3 linked regions of the Lonchura striata genome follow. Each later gene encodes a partner of the first gene's protein in a complex. Links are inferred from orthologs where the notes say so. Each region holds a gene or a part of one and is shown on either strand. Other genes may lie near its edges. The genes, in order: WDR20, WDR48 and USP46.

Region 1 (7,357 bases):
TGCTCATGTCTGCTTTCCAATTTGCTAAAACAATTTGCAAAGGTAAAGGCACAATACAGCAGTGATTGGGACTGACTTCAGTTTATTGGTTGTGTGGCGCATACAAAACACCTCATTTGGGGTGTCCTCCTGGGATCATTTCAGAACTATCATCTTTGGTTAGCTTGAAACAGAAGAATTTTCAAGTGATACAGGAATTTTTTTTTCATAAGACTTATCTCTGTAATCTCTTTTTCTCCTAGTATTTGATGAGCATTGTTGATGGGTTGTACAATAGTGTTCTTGTGACTCGCAGCTGTGTTTTTCAAATGAATATTTGTCTTGGATTCTCCGTGGAACCTCTCAGCAGCTTTTATTGATGTTTCTTGTAAATGTAAAACACTACATCAATTCTTTGACTTTCTACACCATCATGTACTGCTGATAACCAGGTACTTGTTAACTTTGTTTATTCTTTGGATCACACTCATTCCATCAGTGACAGATGGCCTGTTGTGGTTTCAGTACAATTTGCATTCCACACAGTCCCTCTACCAAAGTTGCCTGCTTTCTTCTGCAGAGTGATCTATCCTGTGTTGTCAGTGGGTAATGGATGACATACTGAGTATGCCTGCTTGGAGCAACATTTTTTTTTTTAATTTTGTTGTTGTTGTTACATCTTTATCTGTTTTGAGTATTACTACTTAGAGATCCTTGCTGTTCCTGCTCTTCTTTGGCAATTCTTTGGGGAAAGAAAATATTCTTTCTCTCTGGAACTCCATTAATGAAATTTCTTTATGAAACAATCACTTTTAACATGATTTTTAAAAACATGCAGGGCTGCTTACCTACTTTATGTGCTTTTAGGAGGTCATCAATACCATCTGGCAGGACTGGCTGATAAGCTGACAAGATCTATTGGTCATTATTGATTTGGTTTATCTTAAGAATTTCAAGCAAGTCTTTAATACCTAGCCTTTTAGAAGTCTAATCATCTGTACTTGTTCAGATATTCACTCAGATACATACTCTGTTCTGGAGATCCTTGGCTGTTTCAGGTCTCAGCTAACTTTTACTAATATTTTGATGGTCAGCAGCAAGACAGTATTCAGCTACAAACAAAATCTCTTTGAACTAAATTGACTTGAAACTAAATCCCTTTAACCCCGTGCAGTCTGGAAGACTGAGTGGACCTCTTCAGCTGAGCTGATGTAATGGAAAGAAGGAAGGTCCTGCTGTCCATTGCCTTAAGCAGACAGTGTTTTTAACATTTGCAAGGAGTTTAGTTGTCTATCCATTTACCTTTTAGAAATGGCTCCTCATAAGGTCAGGAGGGCACTGTGGCTGGTACAGGAAGGAGTAGCAGCAGATAGATGTAGTCCAGAAAGAAAAGAGCAGGACAATGCCTTTGGTAGCAGTCACATTAGAGCCACACAGCTACAGCAGGAAACTATACCTTGAAAGTGTGTTTTTTTATTGCTAACATAAAATGTTCTAGTTCTTTGCTGCTTATCTTCCCCTGGTTGCACACTACTCCTTCCTTATTTTGGCTCCAGCAGTTCTTTGGGTGAGTTGAATCAAACTGGTTGCTGGTCAACACTTTGCTTACCTGAGAACTCATAATTTCTGTGTGTGTGTGTTAACTTTCAGGTGGATCTGACTCACCCTTTGGTTGCATGATTACTAGAACTGATGCAAGGCAGGTAATGGAAATACCCGTAGAGGAGGGGCCAAAACCTTTTTTTCCAGCTGGAGATCAGTCTTAGATCAGTTTGAATCAGTCATGAGGCTGTTGTCAGACAAACTCTTAAAGCCAAAACTGCTGTCAGAAGAAACAGTCCTACCTCCTTGCCCAGTGAATACAATCCTTCCCACCAACCCTGTGCCACCTCCATCTGATATTGATCTGGTTCACCATGCAACACAGCTGGCAGTATGGCTGCAGGATGATCAGAACAATGAGGTGAGAGATTTGATAACCAGTTTTTCAGGTTCACACCTCAGGCCAACTCCCAGGCCTGGCTCTGCCTGCAGCAGGTTGGAGCCTGGTGCAGAGCTGGAGGGATGGAGGTGCCATCTCCATCAGGGGCACCCCGAGCTTGGCATGAAGTGCCAAAATACAGCTGCACACCTGGATTTGCTGTCCCTAAACTCTCAGACTCTCACAGCAAGACTCACCAGGCTTCCAGGCACTGCCAAGTACCCTGTGGGCAAAGCTGGCCCAAACGAGCCAACAGAGATGTCCAGAGCTGTGTGTGAATGGGAGCTCTCACCTGGGAGCCATTGCCCCAAAACCACTGCTGCACATGGACACCTCCTGGCTCTGATCTGGCACTTCCAGCAGCGGGGATCACCTCACCCCACGCTGTGCTGGCACAGATGCCCACATCCTTAGGTGACCTCCTCCTCCCCCTCTCTCCCATCCCCCAGAGCAGCTGCCCTGTGGAGCCACCATGCTGGGTAATGCTGCTGAGACAACATCTGCAGTGCTGTGTCCGGTTTTGGGCTCTGCTGCACAAGAGAGACCTGTTGCTCCTGGACTGGGCCCAGTGGAGAGCTACAGAAATGATTAAAGGACTGGAGCATCTCTTTTAGGAAGAATGGCTGACGGAGCTGGGCCTATCCCGTGTTGAGAAAAGCTGAGAGGGGACCTCATCAATGTGTATAAATATCTAAAGGAGGGGTGTCAGAGGATGGAACCAGGTTCTTCTCGGTGGTGCCACGGGCAGAAACTGATGCACAGGAGCTCCACATGAACATAGGGAAGAACTTCTTTACTGTGCACACTCTGGAACAGGTTGCCCTGAGAGGGTGTGGAGTCCCACCCACTGGAGATGTCCAGGAGCGCTCCGGACACAGCCCTACTCTGCGGGATGACTGTGGGGGGGGCTGAGGCAGGGGGCTGGGGCAGGAAGGCTGGGGCAGGAAGGCTGGGGCAGGAAGGCTGTGCAGGGGGGCTGTGCAGGGGGCTGGGGCAGGAAGGCTGTGCAGGGGGCTGTGCAGGGAGGCTGGGGCAGGAAGGCTGTGCAGGGGGCTGTGCAGGGGGCTGTGCAGGGAGGCTGGGGCAGGAAGGCTGTGCAGGGGGCTGTGCAGGGGGCTGTGCAGGGAGGCTGTGCAGGGGGCTGGGGCAGGAAGGCTGTGCAGGAAGGCTGTGCAGGGGGCTGGGGCAGGAAGGCTGTGCAGGGGGGCTGGGGCAGGGGGCTGGGGCAGGGGGGCTGTGCAGGGGCTGTGCAGGAGGGCTGTGCAGGGAGGCTGTGCAGGGAGGCTGTGCAGGGAGGCTGGGGCAGGAAGGCTGTGCAGGGAGGCTGGGGCAGGGGGGCTGTGCAGGGAGGCTGTGCAGGGAGGCTGTGCAGGGAGGCTGGGGCAGGGGGGCTGTGCAGGGGCTGTGCAGGAGGGCTGTGCAGGGGGCTGGGGCAGGAAGGCTGTGCAGGAGGGCTGTGCAGGGAGGCTGTGCAGGGGGCTGTGCAGGGGGCTGGGGCAGGGGGGCTGTGCAGGGGGCTGTGCAGGGGGGCTGTGCAGGGAGGCTGGGGCAGGAGGGCTGTGCAGGGGGCTGTGCAGGGGGCTGGGGCAGGAGGGCTGTGCAGGGGGCTGGGGCAGGAAGGCTGTGCAGGGGGCTGTGCAGGGAGGCTGTGCAGGGGGCTGTGCAGGGGGCTGGGGCAGGAAGGCTGTGCAGGGGGGCTGTGCAGGGGGGCTGTGCAGGGGGGCTGTGCAGGGGGCTGTGCAGGGAGGCTGGAGCAGGAAGGCTGTGCAGGAGGGCTGTGCAGGGGGCTGTGCAGGGGGCTGTGCAGGGGGCTGGGGCAGGAAGGCTGTGCAGGAGGGCTGTGCAGGGGGCTGTGCAGGGAGGCTGGGGCAGGGGGGCTGTGCAGGGGGCTGGGGCAGGAAGGCTGTGCAGGGGGCTGGGGCAGGAAGGCTGTGCAGGGGGCTGTGCAGGGGGGCTGTGCAGGGGGCTGTGCAGGGGGGCTGGGGCAGGGGCTGTGCAGGGGGCTGGGGCAGGAAGGCTGTGCAGGGGGCTGGGGCAGGAAGGCTGTGCAGGGGGCTGTGCAGGGGGCTGGGGCAGGAAGGCTGTGCAGGGGGCTGTGCAGGGGGCTGGGGCAGGAAGGCTGTGCAGGGGGCTGTGCAGGAAGGCTGTGCAGGGGGCTGTGCGCGGTGTCCCCCGCCGGGCCCCTCGGGCACGCCGCCGCTCCCGCCCGAGGCCCCGCCCACTCACAGCCCCCGCCCCTTTCCCCGCCCCCGGCGCGCGGGCCCGGCGCGCGCGCAGTCGCGCGGTAAACAGGCCCCGCCGGCCCCGCCTCCTCGCGTCGCCCCCGCGCGCAGGGGCCGCGCGCGCGCCGGCGGCTGCGCAGTGTCGGCACATCCGGGCACTGGGGCAGGATGAGCGCTCCTTTCCAAGATGGCGGCGGAGGGAGGTGGGAAGGAGATGAACGAGATTAAGACCCAGTTCACCACCCGGGAGGGGCTGTACAAGCTGCTGAGCCACTCGGAGTACAGCCGGCCTAACCGCGTGCCCTTCAACTCGCAGGGCTCCAACCCCGTCCGCGTCTCCTTCGTCAACGTCAACGACCAGAGCGGCAACGGGGACCGGCTCTGCTTCAATGTGGGCCGGGAGCTCTACTTCTACATCTACAAGGGGGTCCGCAAGGTACCGGGGCTCCCCCGCCGGGCTGGGGCGGGGAGCGGCGGGGCTCCGCGCCGCCCGCCCGCCGGGGTGCGGGCCGCGCCGGGGGCGGGGGCGCGGGGCCGGGCTGCGCCTCGCTCGCTGTCCCCACTCCCCGCGGGGCCGGCGGCTCCTCGGCTCCGGCCGAGCTCCGCTCAGCCAGCTGGCGGCTGGGCGGGGGAGAGCGGGCCTGCGGCGAGGGCGGTGTGAGGGCATCGGCGGCGGGCCGGTGCTCGGGGCTGCTCCACATACGGTGTCACCGACGGGAGCCGTGTGTGTGGGCCCTGTGCAGGGATGCGATCGCTTGGGCGCTCCTCGTGCGGGAATCAGGGTTGGCTTTCCCTCCCTCGGCCTCCGTCACCTGCTGCTTCAGGTCAGAATTTGCTGGACACGCTAATGCCTGTCGTGATTATGGTGGTGTCAAATCCCTGCTTCCAGGCTCTTCCTAGCTTTGGCTGCACGTCTGAAGCATTCGGTGCAGTTTTAGGCCTTTGTTATGACTTAGAAGTGTGGGTTGGTTTTAGAATTATTCCTAAATGGGAGTGGTGTAGTGAGATGAGTCTTAAATATCAGATAATTGACAGAGAGAAAGTTGCTTTTGCAGGATAAAAAGATTGATGTACTTGAGAGAGACACTTCTTGCTTGTCATTATTGGATGCAGTACAGTGCATGCATTTGATCTCTCAGGTCACCATATTTATGAACAAACCCTTCTCTCAAACAGGATTGAGAGAACAATTCGGAATTTGCTGTGCTAGGTGAACCCACGTCACTCCTAATAGATATAAACACATATATAATGAATGTCAGTTTTCTGCTTTGTCTCAGATAGTGGGTGTTCGTTATTTTACATGCTTGGGTCTCAGTTGCCATCATGTGATCGCCTTGAAATCTTCCTGCTTTTAGCTCACCATTCAGCATGGGATGAGGGCACGGAGAGCTAGAGACTCACACGAGGCTGTGCAGGAAGCTCGTGGATGAGCAAGGGATTATACCTGAATCTGCTGTGTCCTAGGGGAGTGCCCCCAGCACTCCTCCTTTCTATAAAATGTCGGCAGCAGCAGGAGTTTAAAGTCTACATGGTTGTTTGTTAGACTGTGACCTAACAGATCTGATATGTCTTGTATAATTATATGTGAAAGTGTGTGTGTGTATTTAGTTTCACCTTTTAATGAATTTTAATAATCTAGGTATGTTTCAAATAATGCTTGGACAATGGCTTCTTTAAGGATACAAGGAGTATTTAGTATCAAACAGTATTCCCTACTTACAACCAGTTGCTGTCTTTACAAGGTATCCTGAGGAGCAGTATCTCTGAAAATCTACATCCTAAATTGTTGCCATGTTTGGGTCCTGCTGTTTGTTTTTTCCATGCAAAGTAGCTGCAGAGTTCTCTGAGCTCACAGAGCAGGCCTTTATGTAGTTTAGTAATGGTACATGTGATTCTTGCAAGTTCTCTTAGTCATCTCTTGCCACACTTCTGACAAATAAAAATCTAAAGGCTGGAACTTAGTTGACAATAAGGAATAGAATAATTATAGTTATATCAAATTACAAAAGTCTTCTTGAACTGGGTATTTAGATATTTGGTATTTAGATTTTTTAGATGCTAAAAGCTACTGGTATGGTATGCAGTAACTGAGAAATTTGAGTTTGTGAACTCATGAGCTCTGGAGGCATCTGTACCTGTGACAGTGTGAAATACTTTTTTCTCTGAATAGAGTGAAACATAGACATTGTTAGGACAGAATTAATCTCAATGACCTTTTACAGTATTAACTATGTAAAACAATACTGTATATTCTATATGTATAATACTTTGGTAAAGTGAACCTAAAGAAAGAGCTGAAATAGATTGACTCACTTTAAGGAAAATGCTTTAAATGAGAATGAGAAGATGGTCTGATTTAAATCTGCAATACTTGCTGCTTTGGAATTTATTTTGGAACTTCAGTTGGAAGTAACTGTTTTGTCTGTGTATGAAAGTGAATCAGGAACAGGCTGACAGCCTGTCAACTGATCGTGTGAACTTTTCAGAATCAAAAGTTCTATCTTGTGGCTGTCATAAAAGGGAGAGAGCTATTGTTACTTAAATGGACACGATGTAATTCTGCCTTAAACTGGGCAGACTATCACATTTTGTGTTCCTTCCTGTTCCTGGGATGAGGATGGGGAAAGGGATTTGATCTGTTTAAAACCCAGCTATTTGTGCTCCTTGGCGTAATACAGGTGCTGATAACTTCAGTTTTACCTGTTAGTTCATAATTATTTATGTATTCCTTAAAAATTTTCCCTGATTACTTTTAAGATCGTGATTTTCATTCTGACTAAGTCATATTGGAATATTGAGTTGAATTTAATGACGCTGTGCTGTGTGAATATATCAACTGTGATTTTGTCTTTTTTTTTTCTTGTTTTTTCCTTTTTTTTTTTAAGATTATTTTAAGACCTCTTTTCTTGATAGGAAAATGTTACATTTTTCCTAAAATGAGCAAAAGAACCACGAGGACTGTATTTTAAGTGGCTGTGTCTGTTTGGTACTGAGATAATTCTTGCATCAGTAATCCATTGCAGATCAGTACACATTAAGGAAGAGCAACACTTAAGCCACGAATGACACTGAAAAATAAATAACCTAATATTGAGTCACAGATACCACTTGGAAGGCTATTTCGTGACATCAATAATGCTAATTTTTCTTCTTTTAGTTTCCCTTAAATGCT
Region 2 (7,018 bases), on another chromosome or scaffold:
CTTTCTACCCTCTTTAAAGATGGGCAAAAATGTTTCCCTTTTCCCAGTTACCTGGGGCTTCACCTGACTGCCAGAATTTTTCAAATACTTAGAGAGAGGCTTGGCAACTACAGCAGACAAATACCTCAGGCTTTGGGATGTATCTCATCATGCCCCATAGACTTATGTACATTCAGGTGTCATGAACCTGATTGTTACTCACACTGGGAAGCATTTTTTTCAGAGCAGTGGGAAGATTATGATTTAATATCTCTCCTAAGACAAATCTGAAATGTATTTATTGGTTTTTTTTTTCAAATATAAAATGAAGGCATGTTTTTTTCAGTTGAGTTGTGTGCTGACTTCAGGCTAATGGTAATTGCTGAGGTGTTTCAGATGCTGTCATGCACACAGGATGGAGATTTATTGGATTCTGGGTTGGAAAAGAATGAGGCAAAGTGAAGTTTTCCCTGTAAGTAAATACTGAGTAAAGTGCCTGACTACATTTCACTATACATTAGTCCATTAAGAAGCAGATTACTTCTTCTCATAACACAGTCATTTTCATGCATACACTTAAGTGATTTCTTGTCTTGTCTCAGAGGTAGTGAAATACAGATGCTAGTTTTGTGTTATTCTTTGATCAAATGAAGTACTAATTTCATTCATAAACCTCAGCCATCACTTCATTATCCATAATCACCATCAGATTATTCATTTAAGAAAGAATAATACTGTGTCTTTATGAGCAGTCAGCAACTTTTGTACATTTGATTTAAAATTGACTGTTTATAGACAGAGAAGTTTGCTTTTTACATTTCTATGCAATTTAAAAATGGGGTTTTCTCTTTTTTTTTTTTTTTTTTGTCCATCAAGGAACTTTAAGTATATTGTGACAGCTACTAGTGTATATAATGCAGTGTTTGTTCAACTTGTCAGACCATTAAATTTAAGGTGAAAAAAAATGCACAATGATGCCTTTGTATCACAGAACCATTGTGGTCAGAAGAGATCTCTGGAGATTGCCTGGTCCAGCAAAGATCACATTTACTGAGGGCAGCTAAAAGTATGAGTATCATAATAGTGATAATTTTCTGGTTTTTGTGTGTATGTTTACCAAACCTGAACTAAAGGCAATATTACATAAAAAAACATGGTAGGTAATGATTTCTTTGTTATGCAGGAAACCTTCCAGCCTTTCAAGATGTTTGTGTTATTTCCTAGTAGGAGAGTGGTAAGATGATCTTGTCTATATTAGCTGTTTGCTTTAGGTTTTGGAAGAGAAAGAATATGATGTTTATATGAGTCTAGGGATTATTTTTCAATTTCCATGAAAATCTGATCTTCTTAGACTAGATTGTGAATTTCTGAGAACATTGCAGTGAGCAAACTGCTGCTGAGCCAAAAAGGAAGTGCTGGAGAACCAAACAGGTCTCAGGAGTGAAGCCAGGATGTTGAAACGGGGAGAGAAGGAAGAATGGAAATGCCCAGAATGTAAGAATAGAGTGAATAAACACTGTAATGAAGAGCAAGTAATAAGAGTATAGAGATTATATTTCCTTAATAACAGTGACTTCTAGAATGCTGTGGAATTTCCCAGCTTCCTCTGTGTGCTGCTGCATTCTCTCTGTCAAAGCTTGACAGTCACAGAACCAAAATGTTAAAAGATTTTAGAAATACACTGTAAGAATGATTTGCAGCCTGGGAAGTATGATTTTGTCCACTGGAGAGAAGATGGAAGGAAACACAACAGCATGAAAAAATAGTTAAGAAGAAATGTGGAACAAACTCATCTTCATGTCCACAAGGAGTGAACCAAGCAGTAACAGGCTGAGGCTGCAGCTCAGGAAATTCAGAGGAAGCACAAGGAAACCCATTTTTGGAAGTGAGAACAGTGAAGCAGTAGAATATGTTGGAGATGAAGGTATTGGAATCACCATCTGTTGCAACTAGGGACTAAACTGATATCTCTGGGAATTACATCAGTGGAGTTGAAGCTGTTTTGGGATAAATTGACTAATTTGTTTTAGGACATCACTCCCAAACACATTTTCAAAAGATATAATTATACAAATACAAGTAGAAAATATTTTGCATTTAAAAAAGGTCTTTAATCCTCCAGGAAAAGCTGTAATTGGTTCTCTACTTGGGTTAAGAGCTACACACAAGTTCAAGATATAAAGACATGCATTTTAAAATCAGATAATCACAGAAAAAATACCCAAAGGACATGGCAGATTCTACGTAGCTTGAAACCAAAAGTGCTGCAGGCTATATATAATTTATGGGCATGACTCAGATTCAACTGTTTGAAAATGCTGTATTTGGGCTGTGCTTTATGGGATGTGAAACTTGGTGATCTAAAGTACGATTTTAATGTTTTGTGTGACTAAAATCTCCTGAGATACCATATTCTATGTCTGCATAAGCAAGGTATTCGAGTAAAACAACCCATTGTTTTAGACTCCATCATGTCTAAAATCTGCTGTAAAAGCCACAAAAATACATTCACATAACATTGTACAATGAGCCCAGTGCTTGCAGTGGTTCTCTGGAATTGCTGTGTCTGTAACTGCAACTCTTGCTGCCGAATTAGAGAGAAGTTACTACTGCAGCATTAACTTTGTCTTAAATTTGCTTAATCTAACCAGTAAATACTGGGTTCTCGTTCAGTTATTAGGAATAAATTCTGCACTGTGAGGATGGGGAGGTCCTGGCACAGGTTTCCCAGAGAAGCTGTGGCTGCCCCTGGATCCCTGGAGGTGCCCAAGGCCAGGTTGGACAGGGCTTGGAGCAACCAGGGATAGTGGAGAAACCTGGGATGGCAGCGGATGGCTCTGGATGAGCTTTAAGGTGTTTTCCAACCCAAACCATTCCGTGATTCCGTGAAACACTGCAGTGAAGGAAGGACTTTGGCCAAGGCAGATCTCATTTCACAAACCACACACTCCACCTGCAACTGCGATGAGGACATACAGCTCTACACTGCTAGAAAAAGTGACCTGTATCAAAACAAAAAAGTTTAAATCAGAAGTAAAAAATATCCTTATCTTCTACTTAGCCTTGCAGCCAGCACTGAAGAATAGGAATGCCTGAATACATCATTTAATGCTTAACCCCTTACATTTTTATCTCTCCCTTAATTTTTCCCTCTATGTTAATATGGAATTAATGCATTTAAGTGCAAGTACCTGGATGCCTGTGGTGTGATACCTCCCTTTCCAAAGGGTTCCATGTGGTTTGGTGGGATGTTTTAAAATTCCTTTTTCACTGACTTAACTATTAGCACCTTTACTGATGTACCACAAAGAAGTAACCAAGAAATGGTGTGCTGAAAATAGAGTCTCACATACAGCTTCATACAGCTCCTCACCCAGAAGATACAGTAGCAGATACAAAATATTACGAGTTGGAAGACACCCACAAAGATGATCGAGTCCAACTTTTAAGAGAATGCCCATATGGGGATATGAGTTATCAGCACCGTACTCTAACCAACATCTCTACTTCTTAATGAACAAGAATATCGATGCAGAGGAATCTCTGGCTATTATTAATGAAATACAGAACTACTGATAAAAGACCATCTGATTATTATTGGCAGCTAAAACCCCTGATTTGGTTTATTCAAGTGGATCCTTTCTTATTTCAACACAGGCCTTTCACCACCAGCCGAGACGAAGCAAAGCAGGACGAAGACACCGCAGGAGCACCAGGCGGCGGCCGTGCGGGACACAAGAGCAGCAGAACGAGGAAGAGAACAAACCCGCCCCGCCCTGGGGCCGGGCTGAGGCGGCGCCTCATGAGCGGCAACATGGCGGGCGGCGCGGGAGGGCGGCGCGAGGGCCGCGCCCCCATTGGCCGCGCCCCTTGGCCACGCCCACCGCCGCCGCTGGCGTATAAAAGCCTCGCGCGGGCCGGCTGAGGGGCCGGCGCTTCCGGTCGGACATGACGCCACAGTGTCAACATGCAAGATGGCGGCGCATCACCGGCAGAACACGGCGGGGCGGCGGAAAGTGCAGGTGAGGGCGCGGCGGGGCCGGCACGGCTCCAAGGGAGCCCGGAGCCTCGCGGCTGCAGGGTGTCAAGCCTTGGGGGTTTCTATGGTAGCGCAGTCGCCCCGCTCTCCCGCGGCAGCGGTGAGGGGAGGCAGCACCGCACGCCCCCGGCGTGTCTCCCCTGCCACTCCTGGCCGCCGTGGCTGAGGCACCGCGGGGGATGAGCTGCTGCTCGCTGCCGAGCAGGGTCGGGTTCTGCTGCAGAGCTGAAGCAGCTCAGATCAAAAGCGGAGAAGCACACGGGGAGAGGTGAGCTGAGAGCGGTGCCCTCAGACCTGCTTTGGTGTATTCCCAGCAGCGGCAGGGCTGAGATTCCTGTCTCGGCTGTGTCCGGTGCCAGAGTAGATTTAGATTCGATATTAGGAAGAAATTCTTTACTGCGAGCATGGTGAGACACTGAAATAGTTTTCCTAGTGAAGCTGTGGATGCTTCATCCTTGGAAATTTTCAGGGCCGGGTTGGACGGGGCTCTGAGCAGCCTGGTCCAGAAGAAGCTGTCCCTGCCCAGGGCAGGGCGTTGGAACTGGGAGATCTCCAAGGTCCCTCCCAACCCAGACCATTCCATAATTCGATAATCTGTTTTGCATCATATTTCTGCGAAACACTCTGTCCCTTCACACACGTGAGTGAGGAGCAGTTTTTTTGTTTTTTTTTTTCCTCAAATTTCAGAGTTATTCCTTGCCGGCTCCAGGCAGCATTTGTTGAAGGAAACCTGTGGCACAGGCAGTCAGATGGGTGTAGACTTTCTCAGCACATTTGAGGAAGAATTAAACCCTGCGGTTGTTTGGGCTCACGTGTAGCTACAAGTGGATTGTTGTAGCCTTGGTTGAGACTGGAGTTACCAAAGTGTGTGTAAAAAGTCATTACAGTAGTTTTGTTTTATGGTTCTCAATGCTTTTCTTCTTGCTTGGGATACTGCCTGCCCTTTAGATGTCTTTACAGCTTTCATTATGGAAAAGATTTAATGCTTTATCAATTAAAGCAGCCTAGTGGCAAGTGCCAGTTTCAGCTGTACCTATCCAGTGTGATCAAATGAAATATTGATTAGGCTTGAAAAGTAGCATTAGGAGCTTTCAAAACAGAGGTGGGTTTGGGTTTTGGACGTATCATTTATCACACAGAAGAAAGGGGCATCTTATAGAGCTTTTAGTGTTTTCTGTGGTTAAGGGAAGCACTCTTTCAATTCTATATAAGGAATCCCCTTGCTTTATTAGAAAAAAAAAACCCCAAAAAACAGGACATGCTTTAAAATATAAACAATGCCTCTGCTATGAACAAGTTTTCTCAGGTTATACCCCTAAGGAGGGGGATTTGATTGTACCTTGATATTTGTTTGCACTCCTATTTATGAAGTAGTATTTGCCTGACAGCAGCATGCCTCAAAGAGCTCAATTTTTACTACTACTTCTCTTTTCCAAGCATGGCTTAGCTCAAAAACTTGTTTTTACAGGTGGTTTTGTGCTGGTTTATGATGTTTTGTCTGTTCTCATTGTGCTGTGTGGTATTTTTTCACCTCATGTACTAATGACACATGATATACATAACACTGGTCTGTGTCTTGGCAGTGCACTGTGAGTTTGCATCCAGCTTGGCTGTGCTTCCAGAGAAGCTTTCCAGCCCTGGAAGTGTTCAAGACCAGCTTGGACAGGGCTGGGAGCAACCTGGCAGAGTGGAAGGTGTCCCTGCCCATTGCAGGGGGTGGAATGAGAGCATATTCTAACCCAAACCATTCCATGATAAACATTTATAAAGCTTGTCTAGCAGCTAGGGTTTTTTTCTTGACTCTTACTATTTCACCTGCTTGGTTTGTAATAGGAATTTGTACAAGTAAAGGAGTTTTAAGTGGTTGTTTTATCCATCAGCTGCTAATAGAAAAATAAAACTACTCATTATTAATTTTAATTCCCAGTGCTTGAGCATTTAGGGTGCTTCTGCACAGAGTTTTTGAGAGAGAGACAGAATTAGAGAAATTTATTCCAAACCTATGAGGCTGGAAGAAAAAGCTTTTACAAAAGACATCTCTTAGGCAAGGAGGAACTTGATTCCTTACATGGCAGGAGAGCTGGTTGAAGTTTATGGAAATCAGAACTATTATTAGCTTGGATGCACCTGTTCTACTGGTAAGCAAAGCCATCCAAAATAGTCAGTTTAGGGTGCTTCTGCATATAATTTTAGTTTCTAATGGTTTAATCAGAGTTTTAGGCCTCAAAATAAATTCCATGCATAGAAAAAGAAAACAAGTTAAACTCTTTAAATGGGAGTAAAGCATTTCAAGTTTCCAGTGGCAGGTGTTCATGAAGCTTAGCCATGCTTTTTTGAAGGCTGCAGGAGTGAGGTTGAGTGTTTTGGGGAGGGAGGGAGGATGCAGAGGTGTATGAGACACTGATTTGGGGAGGGAGGGAGGATGCAGAGGTGTATGAGACACTGATTTGGGGAGGGAGGGAGGATGCAGAGGTGTATGAGACACTGATTTGGGGAGGGAGGGAGGATCCAGAGGTGTATGAGACACTGATTTGGGGAGGGAGGGAGGCTGCAGGGGTGTGTCAGACGCTGATTTGGGGAGGGAGGATGCAGAGGTGTGTGAGACACTGATTTGGGGAGGGAGGATGCAGAGGTGTGTGAGACACTGATTTGGGGAGGGAGGATGCAGAGGTGTGTGAGACACTGATTTGGGAAGGGAGGGAGGCTGCAGGGGTGTGTCAGAAGCTGATTTGGGGAGGGAGGGAGGATGCAGAGGTGTGTGAGACACTGATTTGGGGAGGGAGGGAGGATGCAGAGGTGTGTGAGACACTGATTTGGGGAGGGAGGGAGGATGCAGAGGTGTATCAGACACTGATTTGGGGAGGGAGGGAGGATGCAGAGGTGTGTGAGACACTGATTTGGGGAGGGAGGGAGGATGCAGAGGTGTATCAGACACTGCTGTTGGCTGTGTGCTGCAGCTTTCAGATGTTGTCCTGGCAGTCAAGTCAAGGTGAAGCTATT
Region 3 (7,252 bases), on another chromosome or scaffold:
ATGCCACCCCTAAAAATCAACCAGACATAATTGTTTGAATTCTGGGGGCTTTTTTTTTTCAAAAACTGAAAAACCCTCTGTGAACACTCTAAAGTGGAATGGGAAAAAATAAAGACCAGAACCCCTTTTTTAATTACTGAGTTTAGCCAGGTTAACAAACTTAGAAACCTACTATTATGTAACATTATATATTACCTAAGAACTACACAGCTATTTCTTAGTCCACAACTTGTCAGTAGCTCAGTTTTCAAGCACTATATTATAGTGCAGGAGCAAGGTCTGAGAATCAGCATCTCAGCATCTTTCTAGATAGATTTCTACAGATGTCCTAAATCAAACTAGAGCTGCAAATATTTAGGTTTTAAAAAAGCAAAGGTTTACTTTTATACCTCTAGCCCTCTGGAAGGTTGTCACAGCTCCTTCTACAGATCATTGGTTCAAGTCCATCACCTCATCAGAGTGGACACATTTTTGGAGGAGCCATAATACAATATTGTCAACACTTGCAAGAATTTGTATTTCTCTTACAGCCCCAAATTCCTGTAGCTGTCTAAAACTCCATTGTTTATACCTAAAAGAACTTCCAGTCCCTGAGGGTTATCCAGAAGAAGCTAAATGTGACCAACACAACATGGCATCTCTAAAAGCTAAGTACACAGACCTCAAGGAATATGTAGCCTTAAAATATCATTAATATTACATCGACTGCACCTTCTGTCACAGTACCATGAGCTAGAATTGCCTTAAAGTACGAATCCTTGTATGCCTTTTCTGCTTGGGGCTCTCCTTCTTCCCTTCGGTCTCTCCATCTCTCAGATGCTACATTTGCAGCACACCACTGCAACAACCTCATCAGTTCTGCTGTGAATCTGTTCAGTCTTTGGGAGAAGTGTGCTGCGTACAAGTGCACTGCCTGAAGCACATGAAAAAGTCAGAGTTCCTAGCACTTTATGCCAAGGTATTACATCCACCTATGAGTCTCCAGCTCCCCTTCATGCAGTGTTCTTTTATACAGTTTGCAAGGCATTACATCCACCATTAATGAGTAAAAACTGAAGCCTGTCTCAGAGAGAAGGTAAGTGCACCTAGGTTTTCTCCGCAGTCCTGTACCATTTCCTGAACCTCTTTTTGCAGTATTTGTTGCTCACTGGACTGGAAATCATTAAGAACAATGAAGAGTTCAGAAAACTTGTTACTGTTGGTGAAGAAAGGTGAGCATCCAGGTTATTATACCTCAAATCTGGATTTTATATTAATTCTTTTAAGCCCAGAATCAACACACCCTCCCTGCATTTCAAACCATGTATTTCAAAGGGAGGGCTGAGGTTCAAATCAAACCTATGCATAGGATTTCCCAGGCATCTCATTTGCAACCAAAAAGCAATCCCACTTAAGTGGAAGTGTGGACACGTGGAAGGGGAGCAGGCTTGCAATTTGCACTCCCTCACTCAGACCCCGCAGGAGCCAGGCCTCTGGGGTTGTGCCCATTGCCTTACCCTAGAGACAGGCTCCATTCTCCAGGGCAGATCAATGGTATGTGTGGCATCAGCAGCACAAGGCATGCTGGGGCACCACATGGAGGCAAGCTGGCAACTGTGTGTAGCTGCTCTTGAAGAACCTGGAAATAAGGGTGAAAAATACAGACTAAAAAATGAAAATTAACAAAAATATGATTCTCTTCTGTTTGCATTGGGATGCTTAGCATGCAACCATTTATTTGGCAAGTTTGCTACAGTCTCACTGTATTAAAAAGTCTTTGACATAGTTTGAGCTTTTCCTCCTGCCAAGAAGTTTCAAAAACCTAAATCAAATTAAGTGCTCCTAGTTTGTTAAAATTTAAATTAAACCCAAACACAATGCAGAAAACATAGTTTCAACTGTTCCATGGGGAGAAAAGTAGCAAAGTGAACATAGTAAACAAAAATATAAACGTTTCCTTATTCCTTCCTAATTGCCTGAGTGGTTTTGAGAAAGCCAAGTGATTCAAGAGTACTTTACAAACACCAGTTCTCTTCGAGCAGCATATAGTGCAAGTTAAACCCTGTTAGCTCTAAAGCCAAGACTTCTAGAACAGGCACCTAGGTGTTATTCGGCATCTAAACATCCTCGTTTTCTATGTAATCTGAGGAGCTCCCGGCCCTAGGAGACCACAGAGTGCCTGCCTGAGAGGGTTAAACAGGGTCATTGATTTAATGCGGATTCAGAACCCAACTTTGGTCCTTTAGCAGTATTAGGGCAAGAGGAAGGGCAGGCGGAGGAAGGGCGCGCCTCGGCCGGGGTCAGACCCGCTCCGTGGGGCCTCGCACTGATTCTGCATCTCCGTGCCTCCCGGGCCCACGCCCGGGCTGCTCCAGGAAAACTCCTCGGGACATCGCACTCTCCTCGGCCAACTCCATCCCAGGCACTTCCCGGCGCAGCCTGCCCGGGGCAAGGGATGGAGTCGCGCGGTTGGGCTGCGCCCCCGGGGCAGCCCCCCAGCCAGCCCCCGCAGGGGCTGCCGTGCCGCCCGCCCCCCGCCAGCACTCACCATATTACAGATGGAGGCGATGTTTCTGACAGTCATGAGTCTAAAGGTTGCAGCGATCCCACACCGCCATCTTTATAAGGTGAAAACAGCCCCGCTCATGGTGGGAAGAGCGCAGGAAGGGATAGGGGGCGGCGGCGGCTCCTGCTCCGGGGCTGGGATAAAAGCAAGAGGAGGGGACTGCACAGGCACCCTTTGCGCCCGCAGAGCAGCGAGAAGGACGGACCTTCCCGGCCTCCCTCCTCCGGGCGAGTGACCGGGAGCTTCAGCAGCGCGGGGAGAGCGGCCGCATCTCCGCTTCTTCCGCCTTTGCCTCTCGCACGGTCCGCAGGGCCCCGGGCTCCCGCTGGAGCGCTCAGCCGCGCCTCTGCGCCAGCCGGCACCGCGCTAATCTCTCCCTTCCTCCTCCTCCTCCTCTTCCTCCTCTCCCGGCGGCCGCCGTTGCCGCTCGCCGCTCCATCGCAGCGCCGCGCCCGCTGATCCGCTCTGACAGCGCCGGGGAGGGGAAGGGAAGCGAAGGGAAGGGAAGGTCAGAGGCAGCGCCCGGCACGGGGCACCCGGCGGGCTCGGCGGGGCGGCCACCGCCGCAGCCAATGCGCTGCGGGGCGCGGGGAGCTGCGCCCGCCGCTCCTCCGCACGGGCCGTCCGGCAGGGGCCGGGGTGCTTTAATCGCCGGGCCGGGAACAGCCATGGGGCTGAGAAACCCGGCCTCAGTGCGTATGCAGCCATACCGGCAGGCAGGGTGAAGGACAGGAAGGCAGAGTGCGGGCAGGAGGACGGCGGCACTGTGCTTTGGGACGTGCTCACCCCACCTGGTTAGGAGGTACAGAGGAGCCCAGGTACTTGCGAAATCCAGAACAGTAGGCTGGAATGTAATTTACTGCCCTCAGTTGGTGCTTTGCATTGCCATTCATGCAGATAACATTTATCTTCACAAATGCTGTTTTGTGACTGTGTCCACACCACGTGTGCAAGTGCTCACTCACAAATTCACGACATGTACCATTTATACAACACGGCAAATGTAATAATCTCAGTTTCTCTTCAAACACAAGCAAGTTGAGGCCCGTGCCTTTCTCCAAGGCAGAGCAGTGTAAGTATATTAAATTTACACACGTGGTAATAGGCACAAGGTTGTTAAATAGCTAACTTGAGGTCACATAGCAAATCTCTGAGGGAAGCAAGAACAGAGTTCAGCTAGGGAAATCCTCATCTTAGAATTCGCCTTTCCTTAGCAGATATTGCTTTTTGTTCAGCAGGAGCTTAAGGCCCGTTTATTGTTCCTCTGCTATGCTGAGGAAATCATTCAAATGAAGAGAGAACTATTAACATTTCTACAGACACCTCTGCTCCTAACAGCACCTCAAGCGTGGCATGCTCATGCTTGGCTACGCCTTTCAGTTCATGATGCTAGAATAAAATAATTGCAGCATGTAGAGCCTGCATCCACAGGCTTTATTTACTGGAAACATTCTGAAGTCAGGTTTGTTGGTTTTGTTTTGTTTTGTTTTGTTTTGTTTTGTTTTTTAATTATCATTTCAAATAAAGATCTATGATTAGGAATAAAAATCTGGCATCAGCAGTAACATCTAAAGATAAATTCCTACCCTGAGAATACTGTTAGATAAGTGGCCTTAATCCAGCTCACTGTAGACAAATGCCCACTTTATAAAAATGGTATCAAATTTGGCATTAGTTGGTATCCTGCTGACAGCTTCAGCAAAGAAACTCAAAATCAAGTTGTCACAGAGACAGAATTTTCTTTCTTCCTTAAACTGGATTAGTTATATTAAATCATTGCAGACATTCAACATACAGGATGGAGAAAGATTTTTGTACCTAACGGAGTGAATGAAGTCCTCAGGGCCACTAAACTGCTTCATTAATCCACAAATCACTATTCAAAAGGGCCATTAAATAACATGGGGAAAAAATTATCTTTGGTATAATTCTATTAAGTTCATGGTCTTACATTACGTGTGAATTTGATCCCAAGTATTTAATTTGCTTAAACTCAGAGAACTGGATTACACATAATATGACAGGTTTTCTCAACATAACCAGGGAAAATGGGAGTTAAGCCGACATGTCAGGACTGAAGCAATCAAGGTCTGATTGGTTTCCAGCACATTTCTAAGTAGCCTGCAGAGAGTGGACAGTACTGCACCGTCCCTGTTTTTTAAACTGATGCCTGTTATTACACAAGCCTAATCATGTATTGTTTTCTGCAGCCTACTTATTCCAATTTACTGTGGAGAATCATAGTTGCTATCAGTAAAAAGTTATGGAACAAACAAATGGGTTTGAAAGGTGATTAAAAATTTAAATGAAACAAAATGCAGTATCTAATAAAGCCATTTGCCTCACATATATTTTAATGTCAATAACATTATTTCCATAATACAAACTCCAGAGAAATCATAGAAAGTGTGAAAACAAAAAAGAAAAAAGTGGTATTTTCATACTTCTGTTTTTCTCAAATGCCAATTACTTGACTTTTTTTGACTTTAATTTTCAGTTGTTTCTGATTTTTAAAGAATTTTTGACACAAAACTAAATTGCTACTGATTAAGCACTTATTAGTTGTTCAAGGGAATGTTTGTAAACATGCACACATATCATTCTATAAAGAATTCAGTATCATATTCCTTAATGATAATATAAATACTTTCATTTAAAGGTGAACATATTTCATGCCTTGTTTCTGAAGATAAATAATAAAAATAGGGAATAATATACAGGAAATTATGTTTCAGTTTGATAATAGTCTAGCACTGTCTTTTTCAATCTTCAGACATATCAAAACAGGAAAGAAGAAAGAAACTTTCATGCTAGAAATGGACTGGTATCTGTGTTTGTTTTCTTCTGCTGTTGTCATTTTCAGGAATAGAAACTTTATTCCTGTAGCTTTTTGAAGATAAAAAAGTGCTAAGCAATGCAACAGATATTAGTTACAAACTTTATAAGAATTGTATAAATAAAGAACAGTGCACAATTGTTTCCACTCTGAAGCATTGCCCTATCTCCTTACAACAAACAACCAACCCTGTGTTTCTTCTGAGTGTTAGACAAAGACAAGGAAAACAAAGGACTATTTATAACCTAAAAGTGCTTATATAATTTCTGTTGAAAGGTCAAAAAATACCTCCTGCATTTAATTTTAGATCCATCTTGGTCTCATCTGGTTTTACACTTGAACATTTCGATTTCACTACATAAAATATGGACCTATTGTAGATATCCTCCTTGGCTAACAGAGGCGTGGATTTCCATAACATTTTCCATCAGACTTTTTTGCAAGAGTATTTTGCAGGCACTCACTCAGAGTTGTTAAATTATTTGGTGGCAAATTAATATTAGGTTCTTTTACAAAGCAAGAAAATTGCCAGCGGAAATTTAGTGACTTGCCCAAAGTTAACACAGGAAAGTTGGTAGCAAATCTGAGACTAGAATATCTGTTCATTCTGTGCTACAAAGACGATACTGCATTTCCTTTCCAGAAATCTTGTAAAATTCCACAAAAGGTTCATTTATGTTTTTCTTGTAATAAACTTGGGCCCAGAAGTAGGTAATCATCAGTCGGTTTTGCTGAACAAATATTTGGAATAGATCAAATTCAGGATATATTTCCAACCAATTACAAGTTGGAAAAAAGTTTTCTTGAAGCATGGAAAATATATAAGAATTATAAGAGAATTCAGAGATCTGAAATACTTGCAGTGCTGACAATGTAGGTTTAGAATTTTACAATTTTTAAAATGTTTTGTATCTAATATTAAATGATGTTCTACCAAAAAATAGCAAAATATCTTGAACAAAATGGAAAATATGTAGACACAAGAATGAGAAATCAGGCTCTTCCATGAAGCTTGGCCTCATTTCAGAACAGACTGGTGGCTTTAGAACAATGCCAAACACCAGCTTGCAGCCTATGGATTGAATCTGTGGCACATGGCTCATAGCAGGTCCATGGAAACCACTCCATCTGCACCTGAAATTCGAATGGTAAGAGTTGTAGTCCATGAACAATTCATGGAAATCCATAGACAATGTGGAGAGTCTAAAACCAAAAAATCAACCCAACTTTAGAATCACTATTCTTCTTTAAGACTGTCATCTTCAAAGCAACACCTACCCAGCATTTTCAAATTATCTGAGAAATTATTCCTTGATTCAAAATACTGTAAAACTTCATGTTTTGGTGACAGTATGACTTGTCAGCATTCTAAAGATAAAGTATGGAAATAAAACTGCATTAAATTGATCCCCAAATCTTGCTTACCTTTTGCTATTTTTTTACTAGTTGGCAAGTAGAGAATATCATCACTTAATTTTTCTCAGAAATTACTACCCTACAGAAGAAAACAAAACACATTTACATCTGACATCATCTTTTCTTGGCCAGACACCAGATCTGAAAGCCCAAAGAGAGCAGAATAAGACAGAGGCAAGTACATTGATGTCAAGGTACCAAAAGCTGACTGAGTAGATACAAAGGGTCTAAGAGTTCTCTAGTGCAAGCCATTAAATTCTATCCTATGAAGAAGCTGCTAAAGCCTCTGCAGCCAGTCCAATGTTGATAATGGCCCGGAGCTGTGATTATCTCATTATATATATCTTTCTCCTGCCGTTTTCCTTCTGCTTGAGTTTCAAATACACTGTGTTAAGAGCTTGGAACAGTGACAATAAGAGAACTTCAGTGTATTGCTTCATCAGTTTAAATAATAT

What was found.
Region 2: the proteins of WDR20 (region 1) and WDR48 are in contact, whole or in part, in a crystal structure (PDB 5K1C), measured with the Homo sapiens proteins. The link is inferred for Lonchura striata from reciprocal best matches to the Homo sapiens genes WDR20 and WDR48. Residues at the interface, in NP_653175.2 of Homo sapiens: Arg20, Ser364, Thr384, Glu385, Asp386, Glu524, Pro525, Leu526; in NP_065890.1 of Homo sapiens: Val191, Lys207, Gly208, Gly240, Gln241, Gln242, Arg243, Cys244, Ile245.
Region 3: the proteins of WDR20 (region 1) and USP46 are in contact, whole or in part, in a crystal structure (PDB 6JLQ), measured with the Homo sapiens proteins. The link is inferred for Lonchura striata from reciprocal best matches to the Homo sapiens genes WDR20 and USP46. Residues at the interface, in NP_653175.2 of Homo sapiens: Asn41, Ser42, Gly44, Arg151, Lys259, Tyr261, Phe262, Gly263, Glu282, Asp283, Asp284, Leu285, His301, Lys304, Ser305, Trp306, Gln374, Asp375, Thr376, Leu509, Arg516, Met517, His533, Glu534, Arg535; in NP_073743.2 of Homo sapiens: Asn205, Thr206, Ser207, Thr209, His210, Arg213, Arg273, Val275, Phe276, Pro277, Glu279, Leu280, Arg281, Phe283, Asp293, Met295, Gln338, Glu342, Tyr344, Thr347, Ser348.

Annotation. Positions count from the first base shown.
Region 1 is NC_134608.1:11,010,809-11,018,165, reverse strand, and holds the start of WDR20 (WD repeat-containing protein 20), read left to right. Parts: upstream 1-4,326; 5' UTR 4,327-4,369; coding exon 4,370-4,618; intron 4,619-7,357. UniProt on the Homo sapiens protein: Regulator of deubiquitinating complexes. Activates deubiquitinating activity of complexes containing USP12. Anchors at the base of the ubiquitin-contacting loop of USP12 and remotely modulates the catalytic center of the enzyme.
Region 2 is NC_134603.1:151,959,184-151,966,201, forward strand, and holds the start of WDR48 (WD repeat-containing protein 48), read left to right. Parts: upstream 1-3,920; 5' UTR 3,921-3,953; coding exon 3,954-4,001; intron 4,002-7,018. UniProt on the Homo sapiens protein: Regulator of deubiquitinating complexes, which acts as a strong activator of USP1, USP12 and USP46. Enhances the USP1-mediated deubiquitination of FANCD2; USP1 being almost inactive by itself.
Region 3 is NC_134606.1:26,394,399-26,401,650, forward strand, and holds the start of USP46 (ubiquitin carboxyl-terminal hydrolase 46), read right to left. Parts: upstream 3,024-7,252; 5' UTR 2,564-3,023; coding exon 2,528-2,563; intron 1-2,527. UniProt on the Homo sapiens protein: Deubiquitinating enzyme that plays a role in behavior, possibly by regulating GABA action. May act by mediating the deubiquitination of GAD1/GAD67.